Arabidopsis thaliana: one gene and its partners. The protein of the gene in region 1 interacts with the protein of each later gene in a pairwise test. Each region holds a gene or a part of one and is shown in the gene's direction. Other genes may lie near its edges.

The links. The genes of interacting proteins can lie anywhere in the genome.
Region 2: the proteins of bZIP1 (region 1) and BZO2H1 interact in binary tests that used the Arabidopsis thaliana proteins (3 or more experiments, as listed by UniProt).
Region 3: the proteins of bZIP1 (region 1) and BZIP25 interact in binary tests that used the Arabidopsis thaliana proteins (3 or more experiments, as listed by UniProt).

The regions. Positions count from the first base shown.
Region 1 is NC_003076.8:20,049,970-20,053,258, forward strand, and holds bZIP1 (basic leucine-zipper 1), read left to right. Parts: upstream 1-1,859; 5' UTR 1,860-2,175; coding exon 2,176-2,613; 3' UTR 2,614-2,766; downstream 2,767-3,289. UniProt on the Arabidopsis thaliana protein: Transcription factor that binds to the C-box-like motif (5'-TGCTGACGTCA-3') and G-box-like motif (5'-CCACGTGGCC-3'), ABRE elements, of gene promoters involved in sugar signaling.
Region 2 is NC_003075.7:1,152,305-1,156,896, forward strand, and holds BZO2H1 (bZIP transcription factor family protein), read left to right. Parts: upstream 1-1,649; 5' UTR 1,650-1,726; coding exon 1,727-2,137; intron 2,138-2,225; coding exon 2,226-2,307; intron 2,308-2,653; coding exon 2,654-2,840; intron 2,841-2,921; coding exon 2,922-2,997; intron 2,998-3,073; coding exon 3,074-3,199; intron 3,200-3,288; coding exon 3,289-3,638; coding exon of another isoform or gene 3,639-3,642; exon of another isoform or gene 3,643-3,759; coding exon 3,760-3,781; 3' UTR 3,782-4,052; downstream 4,053-4,592. Other genes in the region: AT4G02630 (Protein kinase superfamily protein), read left to right, coding at 1-857; AT4G02650 (ENTH/ANTH/VHS superfamily protein), read left to right, coding at 4,235-4,592. UniProt on the Arabidopsis thaliana protein: Transcription factor that binds to the C-box-like motif (5'-TGCTGACGTCA-3') and G-box-like motif (5'-CCACGTGGCC-3'), ABRE elements, of gene promoters. Binds to the 5'-ACGT-3' motif of seed storage protein (SSP) encoding gene promoters (e.g.
Region 3 is NC_003074.8:20,217,357-20,222,415, reverse strand, and holds BZIP25 (basic leucine zipper 25), read left to right. Parts: upstream 1-1,918; 5' UTR 1,919-2,074; coding exon 2,075-2,530; intron 2,531-2,637; coding exon 2,638-2,698; intron 2,699-3,164; coding exon 3,165-3,351; intron 3,352-3,626; coding exon 3,627-3,702; coding exon of another isoform or gene 3,703-3,806; coding exon 3,807-3,932; intron 3,933-4,025; coding exon 4,026-4,331; 3' UTR 4,332-4,519; downstream 4,520-5,059. Other genes in the region: AT3G54630 (kinetochore protein), read left to right, coding at 1-1,221; HAG1 (histone acetyltransferase of the GNAT family 1), read right to left, coding at 5,041-5,059. UniProt on the Arabidopsis thaliana protein: Transcription factor that binds to the 5'-ACGT-3' box, especially present in G-box-like motif (5'-CCACGTGGCC-3'), ABRE elements, of seed storage protein (SSP) encoding gene promoters (e.g.

The DNA.
Region 1 (3,289 bases):
TGTTAAACTTGATTTAGTTCACGTTCTTAGATAAATGTGTTAGAATTTGAGAAGTTTTATTTCTGTTTTGTACTTGTCTTCTTAAAATTAGATATAGGGTTCAAAAAAAAAACTTGCATGTTTATTCTATCATTTAGTTTATACACATACATTTTAAACTATAAATTAGGATTCTAATATGACAACAACACTTTTAAAACAAACCACTAAGTTTCAACCACAATTTGGAACTAATAATTAAAAAAATAATTAAGAAAGTTGATAGAGAAATATCAATGGCAAAAAAAAGAGAAACTACAACACTCCCTAAAACCCAAAACATTAAATTTCAATATATCATGTATATGATTACAAATTTAACAAATTTCATAAAAAAAACAAAGAAATATGTAACCAGTAGTTTAAACAATAATGGTGGTAATAGTCAATTGGTTAAACCTATTTAACTCCACATTTTCTACTGGAGTTTGACTTTATTAAATCACGTTATTTGGATAATAGTTAGGGATTATCTATAGATCAGATCTTATTAATGAAAATATGTCAAACAAAAATAATAATAAATTTGTTATCTAAATAAAACTTTTAATATACTTTACCACGTTATAAACACTTAAAATAAAATAACAATTAACAGCAATTTACATGTAGATTTCTGCATTAGTTTTTTCATTTTTTTCTAGTTTGTTCAAAACCTCAAATATCAAGATTGACTCAGACCCGAACAAAAGGTCCGTAGAACCTAAACAAATTTCTAAAACTAGCCAACCAATGAAGTGCATCTACTTTTTTTTTATGAAAAATAATTATATTGAAGTATTTTATTTATCTGATAAATAAATAATGATATATAGTTTATCGGTGAGCAGATAAGGATCGTGTATTTTCAAGTATTATATTAATTAATAAATTATCGCCCATCTTCTATTGTTTTGTATTTTCATTTGAAAAGAAAGCAGGGCTGGCTTATCAATATATACAGTCTCTTTCTTTTAGTTTACTAAAATCATTTCAGATAAGACCCACACAAAAGTAATATCAAATGGAATTTTGCTTTCAACATGGATAATTTTCTTTAATAATAAAATTGTCAACCATGTTAAGCGTAATCTCTAAATCCCCAAAATTAAAAACACTAAAAATAGTCGGTCATTGCTCCACGTTTAACCTGTCCAATTCCAAAAGAACTTCGTGTTTCATTGACGATATAGTTTACGTACGTATGATTCTTTCTAAATGAGGTATTTTTGTCCCATTAGCAATTTAAAATTTAAAATGGTTGTGTAACTTTTTGAAATGCTTAGTAGTTAAAACCGAACTAAGAAGAAATAATGATCGGAACGTGTTTATGTCAGCTAATGCATTACCCACTGACATTAACTGATCCAGTTTACTGATTTTAGACAATCATACTCTATTTTTACTGGAGTTGCAGAAAAAGGGACTTACAAAACGATGAATTAAATTTGGACAAGTATATATACATAATTAGAAGGTTATAGAATCTAGTTTTCGTAGGATATTTCTTGAATTATCCTACGAGTGTGACAACTAAATGCACAACAAAACAACAATTTAAATGCTAAAAAGCAAAAATAGTAATTACTGGTCACCTATTAAGGAACAACACCAACACCTATTTAGCTGTTATGTCCTAATAAAAATAAAATAAAATAAAAACAATAAACCAAAAAAGTAAAAAATAAAAATGTTTGACTAAAATTCTCTTTCTTTTCCGATTCGTCATTCGATGAATCTTCCTTTCTTATACAATTTGGATAATCTTTTCTAATGTAAAAATTCGAGATTTTTTTTTATAATGTTAAATCTATAAATAAGAGCAACCTAAAACGAACAACTTCTCCCACTTTCCTTATTTTCGATCTTATCCTTATCTTCTTCCTTGTTCTATTTCTCTTCTAACTAATCTCTTCTCTTCTCTTAAAATCAAACGTAATCATAAATAAAGATCTTCTTGTTTAATTTCTCTTGATCCTCGCAAAATCACAGATTCTTGAAATTCTTTTTTCTTGTCTTGAAATTCTTGAGTTCTTGAGTTATGAAAAGACAATGGACAGAGTTATGAAATGATAAATCTCAACCAATTCCTTGTTTATCATTCTATATCAGTTGTGATTCTTCATTGGTTTTACGTTATCTCTTGAACAAAAAAACATGGCAAACGCAGAGAAGACAAGTTCAGGTTCCGACATAGATGAGAAGAAAAGAAAACGCAAGTTATCAAACCGCGAATCTGCAAGGAGGTCGCGTTTGAAGAAACAGAAGTTAATGGAAGACACGATTCATGAGATCTCCAGTCTTGAACGACGAATCAAAGAGAACAGTGAGAGATGTCGAGCTGTAAAACAGAGGCTTGACTCGGTCGAAACGGAGAACGCGGGTCTTAGATCGGAGAAGATTTGGCTCTCGAGTTACGTTAGCGATTTAGAGAATATGATTGCTACGACGAGTTTAACGCTGACGCAGAGTGGTGGTGGCGATTGTGTCGACGATCAGAACGCAAACGCGGGAATAGCGGTTGGAGATTGTAGACGTACACCGTGGAAATTGAGTTGTGGTTCTCTACAACCAATGGCGTCCTTTAAGACATGAGATTTGTGTATTAGTGTGTGTTTTACTTTGGTCATTTTATAGTTTTTGTAATCTTTTTATATCGAATTGTTTCTTCTCATTACTTTCTGAATTCTGATACAATTGCATATCTTATTGTTTTCAACATTTTCATTTAACGTTATATGATTTTCGGTGGTTAACCCGAAAGAAAAAAAAAAAGTTTTTTTGGTACCTTGCATGTAAATGGCAGAACTGATGAAGTAATCAAAATTGAAGCAAAAAGTGGGGAAGTAGTATATGTTCTGGTCATAATTGAGTATTACCGATAAAAATTGCTTTGGTAACACGATAACAATTTTTTGTGTCAAATTTTTCAATTTTATGAATAATTCAAAATAATATAGGGCTTGAATGGTATGTGTCTTATTTGCATGTTCATGTGTTTCAAAACGTGATTTTGCCGAGTGTATACCATTCACAATAATAACCACGGAGTGATAAACCGTGAAAATTAATAAGCTATTTTCCAATCTATTTCGCATGTGTTAAATGTATAACTAACTAGTTTAGACAAAGTCATTTATTAAGTAGCTTTTTGGCGTGTTAAGTTTATTCCGTTTTGAATTTTGTCGTCCTGGTGATTCCGCTATTGTATTGTTCAGTTATTCAACTAATGTACCAGTCAAGTCTTTACCCCTTAGTTTAGAGTTTTCTC
Region 2 (4,592 bases), on another chromosome or scaffold:
AAGCTATTGGACGCGTAAGACACAAGAATCTGGTGAGATTGCTTGGTTATTGCGTTGAAGGAGCTCATAGGATGTTAGTTTACGAGTATGTTGATAATGGGAATTTAGAACAATGGATTCATGGTGGTGGTTTGGGGTTTAAGAGTCCTCTTACTTGGGAGATTAGGATGAACATTGTTCTTGGAACAGCCAAAGGGTTAATGTATTTACACGAAGGTCTTGAGCCTAAAGTTGTTCACCGAGATATTAAATCGAGTAATATCTTGCTTGACAAGCAATGGAACTCGAAAGTTTCTGACTTTGGGTTAGCTAAGCTCTTGGGTTCGGAGATGAGCTATGTGACTACTCGTGTGATGGGTACGTTTGGGTATGTGGCTCCTGAATACGCGAGTACCGGAATGTTGAATGAGAGGAGCGATGTTTATAGCTTCGGTGTTCTTGTTATGGAGATTATTTCAGGGAGAAGTCCTGTGGATTATAGCCGGGCTCCGGGAGAAGTGAATCTTGTGGAATGGTTGAAGAGATTGGTGACGAATCGAGATGCGGAAGGAGTTTTGGATCCGAGGATGGTTGATAAACCGTCGTTAAGGTCATTGAAGCGTACCCTTTTGGTAGCTTTAAGATGTGTTGATCCTAATGCTCAAAAGAGGCCAAAAATGGGTCATATCATTCATATGCTTGAAGCTGAGGACTTGGTCTCTAAAGATGATCGGAGAAACTCTGGAGGAGGAGGAGGAGGAATAGAACAGGGAAGGTCACCGCGGAGGAAGACAAATGTGAATGAATCAGAGGATGAGAGTGGTAATTCTGTTCTGATCAACAATGACCAATTAGCTTTGGAGAATAAGCAGAACTAGTAAAAAAGAAAGAAGCTTTGGCATTATAATTTTGTATTACTATTTTTAGAAGTTTTTTCTTGTGTGTGTATATTTATGTGTGTAGATTCTTAGCCCTTTCACAAAAAAAAAAAAAATGTGTGTAGATTCTTGTAATTTTGCAATAATTAAAACTGGGGATTGCTTGAAAAATATATATATGGTTTGTTTTTTTGTATTCTTTTGGTTCGTTCTCTATTGTAATATAGCCTACATAGTGGTGATTTGTGGTATTGGTGACACTATGTTAAGGTCAAAAAGAAATAGAGAGTAAATTCCATATATATGAAAATTGAAAATGACTGTTTAAATTTACATATGGCGCGAAAAAATGATCTAGTTCGTTAATTATTTTTAGAAGCTTTTTGTGGTAAATTTAGATTTTTAAAAAACTCCATATATTTTTTTTTTATAATTTAGGCTTGTCTATTGTAAATTTGTAATATAGCTTAGTGATTTATTTGTTTAGCTTCTGGTGACATTTTATAAATTTTTAATGACCAGTATAATATAGTATTTTTTTATAAATTAAAATATAATCTAATGTTTTATGTCAACTTCGTTGTTCATTGAATAAATCAAACTTTGAAGAATAATTAAATAACAATGTTTGCAAAAACTGTTACGTTTTTTCATGTAAACATTAGTGGACGTTATACAATAGATATTTAAATTATAAAAACTATTCAAAGAATATTGTAAAGAAATAAAACAGAAATGTGTAAGAAAAAATGTTTATTTTATTGTACGTAATAAAAAAAGAGAATATACTTGTGTGGGTGGACCTAAATGCAAATAGGCAAAGTACCGACAAAAAAAGAAGAATCAGAAAGTGAAAAAGAGAGCGAGCGATGAACAGTATCTTCTCCATTGACGATTTCTCCGATCCTTTCTGGGAAACTCCTCCGATTCCTCTCAATCCCGACTCTTCTAAGCCTGTTACGGCGGATGAAGTTAGCCAGAGTCAACCGGAATGGACTTTCGAGATGTTTCTCGAAGAGATTTCTTCGTCGGCGGTGAGCTCTGAGCCACTTGGTAACAACAACAACGCGATCGTCGGTGTTTCTTCGGCGCAATCTCTTCCTTCTGTTTCCGGACAGAATGATTTCGAGGATGATAGTCGATTTCGTGATCGCGATTCGGGAAATTTGGATTGTGCTGCTCCCATGACGACGAAGACGGTGATTGTTGATTCCGATGATTATCGTCGTGTTCTTAAGAACAAGCTTGAGACTGAGTGCGCTACTGTTGTTTCTCTTCGGGTGTGTTGTTAATCTTCTATTTTTCTTATCTATATGTGTAATTTGTGCGTTTTGATCTAAATCTGAAGCTCTGATGTTCTCTTCTTAGGTTGGGTCTGTGAAGCCTGAAGATTCGACTAGTTCTCCAGAAACTCAACTTCAACCAGTTCAATCCAGTCCTCTTACTCAAGGTAAGAGTCTCTTCTTAGTTTCACCAGGATAGATGAGCGATGATAAACCTGCAGATTCGTTTCTCTGTTCTGTGTTTGTTAATTTAGATGCCTAGGTTAAGGAATTAGAAATAGAAAATGGTACTTTTGTTGGATCAAGCGCCTAGTTTTATCCGTCAAGTTTCAATCTTTTTGTGACTGACTTTCTCATTGAAATTAAACTGCTTTCTGGAAGAACAATAAGCTTGGGATTGAGATGAGTTCTGGTGGTTAGTTCAATATATGGGAAATCATTATTTCAGCGCTCGTCTTTCTCTTTCAGATATCTCTTCTGAGTCTTAGACATAGTAAGTTTTAATCGTGGTAGGTTCTTTGATGACCCCAGGAGAACTTGGTGTTACTTCTTCCTTACCAGCTGAGGTGAAAAAAACTGGTGTATCAATGAAGCAGGTTACTAGTGGATCGTCGAGAGAATATTCTGATGACGAGGACCTTGATGAAGAGAATGAAACCACCGGTTCCTTGAAGCCAGAGGACGTTAAAAAATCTAGAAGGTAATCATTACTTTTTCTCCAATTTCTTGTCGTTTGAAGATTACATTTATAGAGCCTTGTTCTTCCTTTTAATATTTGTAGGATGCTGTCAAATCGTGAGTCAGCTAGGCGATCTAGAAGGAGAAAGCAGGAGCAAACAAGTGACCTCGAAACACAGGTTTTGTGTTGTATCCTCTCAACACCTCATTTTTGTGTTGAAGGATATTAATGAGACCTAATTTGTATTTTGATAGGTTAATGATCTAAAAGGTGAGCATTCATCACTTCTTAAACAACTGAGCAACATGAATCACAAGTATGACGAGGCTGCTGTTGGCAATAGAATACTAAAGGCTGACATTGAGACATTAAGAGCTAAGGTAAGAAGACTTAAGTATTATCCTCCTCTCCTTTTTCTGAACTACCCTTTTTTTGTATACAGTTTTAGTAACTCCCATGTTATGTTAAGGTGAAAATGGCGGAAGAAACCGTGAAGAGAGTAACAGGAATGAATCCGATGCTTCTCGGAAGATCAAGTGGACATAACAACAACAACAGAATGCCAATAACTGGTAACAACAGGATGGATTCTTCTAGCATTATTCCAGCTTATCAACCACACTCAAACCTAAACCATATGTCAAACCAAAACATCGGGATCCCAACCATTCTACCTCCAAGACTCGGAAACAATTTCGCTGCTCCTCCATCCCAAACCAGCTCTCCCTTGCAGAGAATTAGAAATGGGCAAAATCACCATGTTACTCCAAGCGCCAACCCGTATGGCTGGAATACCGAACCTCAGAACGATTCAGCATGGTAAGCTAAAACATGGCTCTTTCTTTTAAGACCATTGAACAATTTAAAACCATTTGAAGTACTATGATCCCTGTTTATACATATCAGATTCCTGTCTCCCCTTTTTTTGCTCATTTTACAGGCCGAAAAAATGCGTGGACTGATCAAACAAGAAGCGGGTTTCGCACTATATTAATGTCTATGCATCTGTAATTTGTAAGTGTTATTAAGTTACGAATCATGAGAAAACATCTTGTGAAAATACAGTCTCATGGCTTATATATATATATAAGCTCTGTCTTATAACATTACAAGATTCTTATTTGAGAATCGTCTTTCTATTTATAGCTAATAACAGAGTGTATATCTGTTTTTATCCAATTTTAAAAAAGATAGCTCACATGGCTTTACTAATTTCCCCTATCATTAAATTCCGACAACCTCGGCGATTTCCATGGTAGATCGATCAAGCATTCACATTTTCTCGTCAGAAAACACAAAAAAAAAAAACAGAGGAGAAAAAGAGACGACGACAAACAAGTGAAAGAAAAAAGTCGTCGTTCTTCCAATTTTTTTCTCCTCTCTCTTCCTCTGTTTAACGGCGTACGTAAGTCAAAATGGGTTCAAGTAAGCTAAAACGTGCCATAGGAGCCGTGAAAGATCAAACAAGCGTAGGATTAGCCAAAGTCGGTGGTCGAAGCAGTTCTTTAACGGAACTCGAAATAGCTGTCGTGAAAGCGACGCGACATGATGACTATCCAGCGGAGGACAAGTACATTAGAGAGATTTTATGCCTAACTTCTTACTCACGCAATTACGTAAGCGCTTGTGTGGCAACTCTCTCGCGACGGCTCAACAAGACCAAGAACTGGTCGGTTGCTCTCAAAACCTTGATTTTGATCCAACGGTTGCTAACAGATGGAGATAGAGCCTACGAGCAAGAGATCTTCTTCGCGACGAGACGAGGAACGAGAT
Region 3 (5,059 bases), on another chromosome or scaffold:
CTAGTATCTAATTCCACCTCCGTACCCGAAGATAACTCCATGAATTTCTTCGCGATTCAAAGCTTTGGTCACTTCATTCGCGGCGAGGATGATAAGGTTAACGATTTAGATTCTCAATTTTTGGGTAAATTGGAAGCGGAGAAGACTAGCGTCGCTGAAACTATCTCTGGTTGTGAGAAAATCTCCGGTGAATTGGAGGCTAAACTTGAGTCACTGAGGAAAGGTCCTTCGAAGAAAGAGTCTCTGGAGAAAGTTAAAGCCGATTTGGAGAATGACGTAAACAAGTTCCGAACTATTGTTGTGGAGTATACTGATAGGAATCCAGCGATGGAGAAAGTTGTGGAGGAGAAAGCTAAGGAGCTCAAAGCTAAGGAAGAAGAGAGAGAGCGAATCTCTGTAGAGAATAAGGAGTTGAAGAAGAGTGTGGAGCTTCAGAACTTTAGCGCGGCGGATGTAAATAGGATGAGAAGAGAGTTACAAGCTGTGGAAAGAGATGTTGCGGATGCTGAGGTTGCTAGAGATGGTTGGGATCAGAAAGCTTGGGAACTCAATTCACAGATTAGGAATCAGTTTCATCAGATTCAGACACTTGCCATTGACTGCAACCAAGCTCTCAGGAGATTGAAGCTTGATATTCAGTTCGCTGTTAACGAGAGAGGGGAAACACCTGCAGCGGTGATGGGTGTGGATTATAAATCGGTGGTGAAGCCAGCTCTGTGTTCGTTGTGCGATGGGATCAAAGGAAGCTCGGCGGAGAAAGTGGAGGAATTGGTCACTTTACAGCACCATAAGTCTGAAATGGCTTCGAAGATCGAATCCAAAAGGAGTCTTCTTGGGTCAATTCAGTTGCAGATCAATGACCTCGAAGAAAAGATGAAGTTGGTGAAGAAGGAAACTCAGGAGTTGAGTACAAAATGTGATTTGGAGGCGAAAACATTGGTTGAGAGTGTGAAAGCTGAGGCTTTGAATCTGGAGGTTGTGGAGAAAGAAGCTGCTGAGTTTGTAAAAGCTTCGGAGCTTAGATTGCAAGAAGCAGTGAAGGAGAGTGAAGAGGAGGTCCAAGCATGTGCTGCACAACTCTTTGCACTTATCGATTCGATATCGAAACAGAAAGAGTACATGGATTCGAAGATATCGGAGATCAAAACCGGTGTTGCTGATACTGCCAGTGCTGTTTCAGAGATATACAAAGCCAACTTCAAGAAGAACCTTGGTATCTAGTGGTTGGAATCAACTGAGCCAAGAGATTGTTAAAAGCGTGAGTAATTCCTATTGCTTTTGTTCACATAGTCGTATTAGCATCTATGTGTGGTATGTATGAGTTTTCAGGATGGATAATTGAAATTGCTCAGCTATGCTAGTAGTATATAAATATCTGTGTTTCTTTTTTCATTGAAACTTAGATGATAGGCACATAATCTAATATTCACAATGTTTAACTCAAAGAACGCTGTTATGATCAAGTTACATAGGATTTCCAATGAATACACTCTTACCTTCTTTTTACCATAAGCTGACTTAGGTGACTTTGATTCTTATTCGGTTTATCCCCTCGGGTCTCTTGAAGTCAGGCTATGTTTGCAGCTCCTCGGTTGTAACCTCTTTGGGTTACCACTTTCTTCAGTCTCACTGAGTTCCTCCTTTACTTGTTTAAAGCTTGCTTACTCATGCATCATATGTGGTGAGAATATCTTACTGATGATATGAATAAGAGAGAGTAGCTATCAAATCAAGAAAATGAGAGGAAGGAGTTAAAAAAGACAAAGGAAACCTAAGCTGCTTATCTATAAAGCCAACACATTATTCTTACCCTTTTGCCCACAAAGTAAATGACACACATCAACTAAAGTAGAAATTTAAAATGCCTTTGAATGCCTTAATTTGCATTTTTATTAAATTATTAACAGAAAAAAGATATGTTGGTTAGTACTAATCCAATACAATACAGAAACGTGTCAAGTATCCTAATCAATAATGGCGGCTCCACGTAAGACAAAAACAAATTAAGGAAAGAGCGAGAGAGAGAGAGAGAGAGAAAAAAGAAGAAGAAGAATTTGAGGCGATTGGGTAAGCGATGCACATCGTCTTCTCTGTCGATGATTTGACCGAATCCTTCTGGCCTGTTCCCGCTCCGGCGCCGTCGCCGGGATCGTCATCGACTCCGTCACCGACGCAGAACGTGGCGGATGGGATGACTCGAAGTCAATCGGAGTGGGCGTTCCACAGGCTTATCAATGAGTTGTCTGGTTCCGATTCGAGCCCTACGACTAACACAATCGAGAGATCACCTCCACCGGTTCAGTCTCTTTCGAGATTAGAAGAAACCGTTGACGAAACCGAAGATGTTGTTGAGATTCAGAAACCGCAGAATCATCGACGGCTCCCTGTTGATGATCAAGGGAAGAATCGGAATCGTGCTCCGTCGTCTGATCCGGTTGATTCTTCAGCTCCTGTTGTTGTTGATCCTAATCAGTATCATGCGATTCTTAAGAGCAAGCTCGAGCTTGCTTGCGCTGCTGTTGCTCGTCGTGTACGTCTCTTAGATCCATTTCTTATGTGTATTCAGATTAAAGGAATTGATGATTTCAACAATAAGGAATGTTTGGTTGTGTGTTGATTTGATATGATTTTCTTCAGGTGGGAACTGTGAAACCGGAAGATTCGAGTGCTTCAGCTAGCAATCAAAAACAAGCTCAAGGTCACGTATCGTTGCTTTGTTTTGGTTTTGGTTTTTTGACTCTCTCTAGCTTTGTCTCTCGTCAATGTCAATGTTTAGATTACATAGAGAGCAAACATTTCATCGAGATTTGTTTGTCAATTTGATTAGACAATTAATTAACTGCTAATCTCTCTCAGTAAACTCAAGACTTTAAGGGAATTTGAAGATAAGTAGGCTTTGTTTTGGAGATGACAGCTTTCTCTGTGTTCATTCATATTTAATTCTGTTCTAGTCGAGTCAATTTTTTCTCTGAGAAGAAAGAAACAAGGCATACGTAGTATTATGCGTTTAGATGAGAATTCTTAGCCTTTTGACTCTCCATTCTTATTAGTGTAAGTTAGTGCATTATACTAGATAGCTTTCTTATTTCCCGCTTCTTGTGATATGTACCTGGATGAAATGTTTTTCAGTTAGTGGATAATGGGATTATTTTGAAATTATCTAGGCTCCATTGTGGCACAAACCTCACCTGGTGCTTCATCTGTTAGATTTTCTCCCACAACAAGCACGCAAAAGAAACCTGATGTTCCAGCCAGACAAACTAGTATTTCATCACGAGATGATTCTGATGACGATGATCTTGATGGAGACGCAGATAATGGAGATCCTACTGATGTGAAGCGTGCTAGGAGGTACAAATCTTGATTTTTGTACCTTAGAATGTTTCTGGTAATCGTTCTGAATCTCGAGGCTGATAGATATAGACATGCTTTTGGGAAAAGGCTTGTACCTAATAGTTTCTACTTTCTACTCTCTCTAAAGAGAAAGAAAGAACTGAAATCTAGTAGAGGAATGTTTCAGTCAATTTTATGTTGTGACTGTTGTTCTTAGGAAACAGTCAGGCTCTATATATTTAACTTTTTCGAAGGTCATCCTGATTCATTTTTTTTTTTTTGTAATTACCCAGGATGCTCTCAAACCGAGAATCCGCTAGGCGCTCTAGGAGAAGAAAGCAAGAACAAATGAATGAATTTGATACACAGGTTCGGTCTTTTATTAGTTGCTCATACATTTATACATTTCTCGAGTCTTTCTTACTTTTCAACAGTCTTCAGGGGTTTATAGGTAAAGTTTTTACCAATTGTAGGTAGGCCAATTAAGAGCCGAGCATTCAACTTTAATTAATCGTCTTAGTGACATGAATCATAAGTATGATGCAGCTGCTGTTGACAACAGAATTCTAAGAGCTGATATCGAAACTTTGAGAACAAAGGTACTCTTGTGACTCACGAGTGTTAAGAATTTAAAACACCCAAGATTATGATTTAATAACTAAGTTAATTGCATTGATAAAAAACCTGTGCAGGTTAAGATGGCAGAGGAAACTGTGAAAAGAGTGACAGGAGTGAACCCTTTGCATTGGTCAAGACCAAACATGGGCATACCATTCAGCAACACACCGAGTGCTTCCTCTAGTATTCCGCCAAACTCTAACCACATTTTGAAACCAGCAAATTCAAGTACCAACACCAGTGCTGGTTTAGCACAAAATCAGAGAGTGGAGACGGCAAATTTCTTGCCGGAACAGGTGAACCGTGAAGGCATGCAGAATCCATTTGCTCCTGATTCTAATCTGTATGAAACCCTACCCCATTGGAATCACAAGCATTAACCAGAAAAAGAGTCATTGGTTTTGTGATTTTGATTGAGGTAACTATTGTCTGTATTTTTATTTACTGTATGACTCAGCGACGGTAAACTCTTAATATTATATATATGATTGGACATGATGGAAGAATGTATAAGCTATCGTGCTTCTAAGGCAAATCGAAGTTGAAATGGTCGTAGACGTAATCACGTAAACATGTGCAGCAGCGTAAGCGTATAAACACAAATGTATCAATAGTTACTTATGGCAAACGTAACCGTTTTAACGAAATGTTGAGCAACAACAACTCACATTCATCAGATTAAAGAAATCTGTGCAGCGTAAGCGTGAGTGTAAGCGTGTAAACACAAATGACCCATGACGCTCATTCTCTTCACCATTGTTGATCCGATCAAAACCACCGAAACTGGTGATCCCGTTCGATATCAAAATTTGGTTATGTGATTTTCATCAGAAACATTTAGTAAAATGAAATGTGTCTTTACAGTTGGAAATAAGCTTTATAGAACAAATTTAACCTACAAAGTAAAAACTTAAACATTCTGAATCTAACTAAATCAAATATTTACCTATCCGAAAAAAAAACATACAAACAATTAAGCTCCAGTATACATGGGCCTAAAATAGTATACATGTATTCCCAGTTCCAATGAAAGTATCTTAAAATGAAAGATCTAGAAAATGATATTAATATAACCTCTACCATCTTCTTCTATTGAGATTTAGCACCA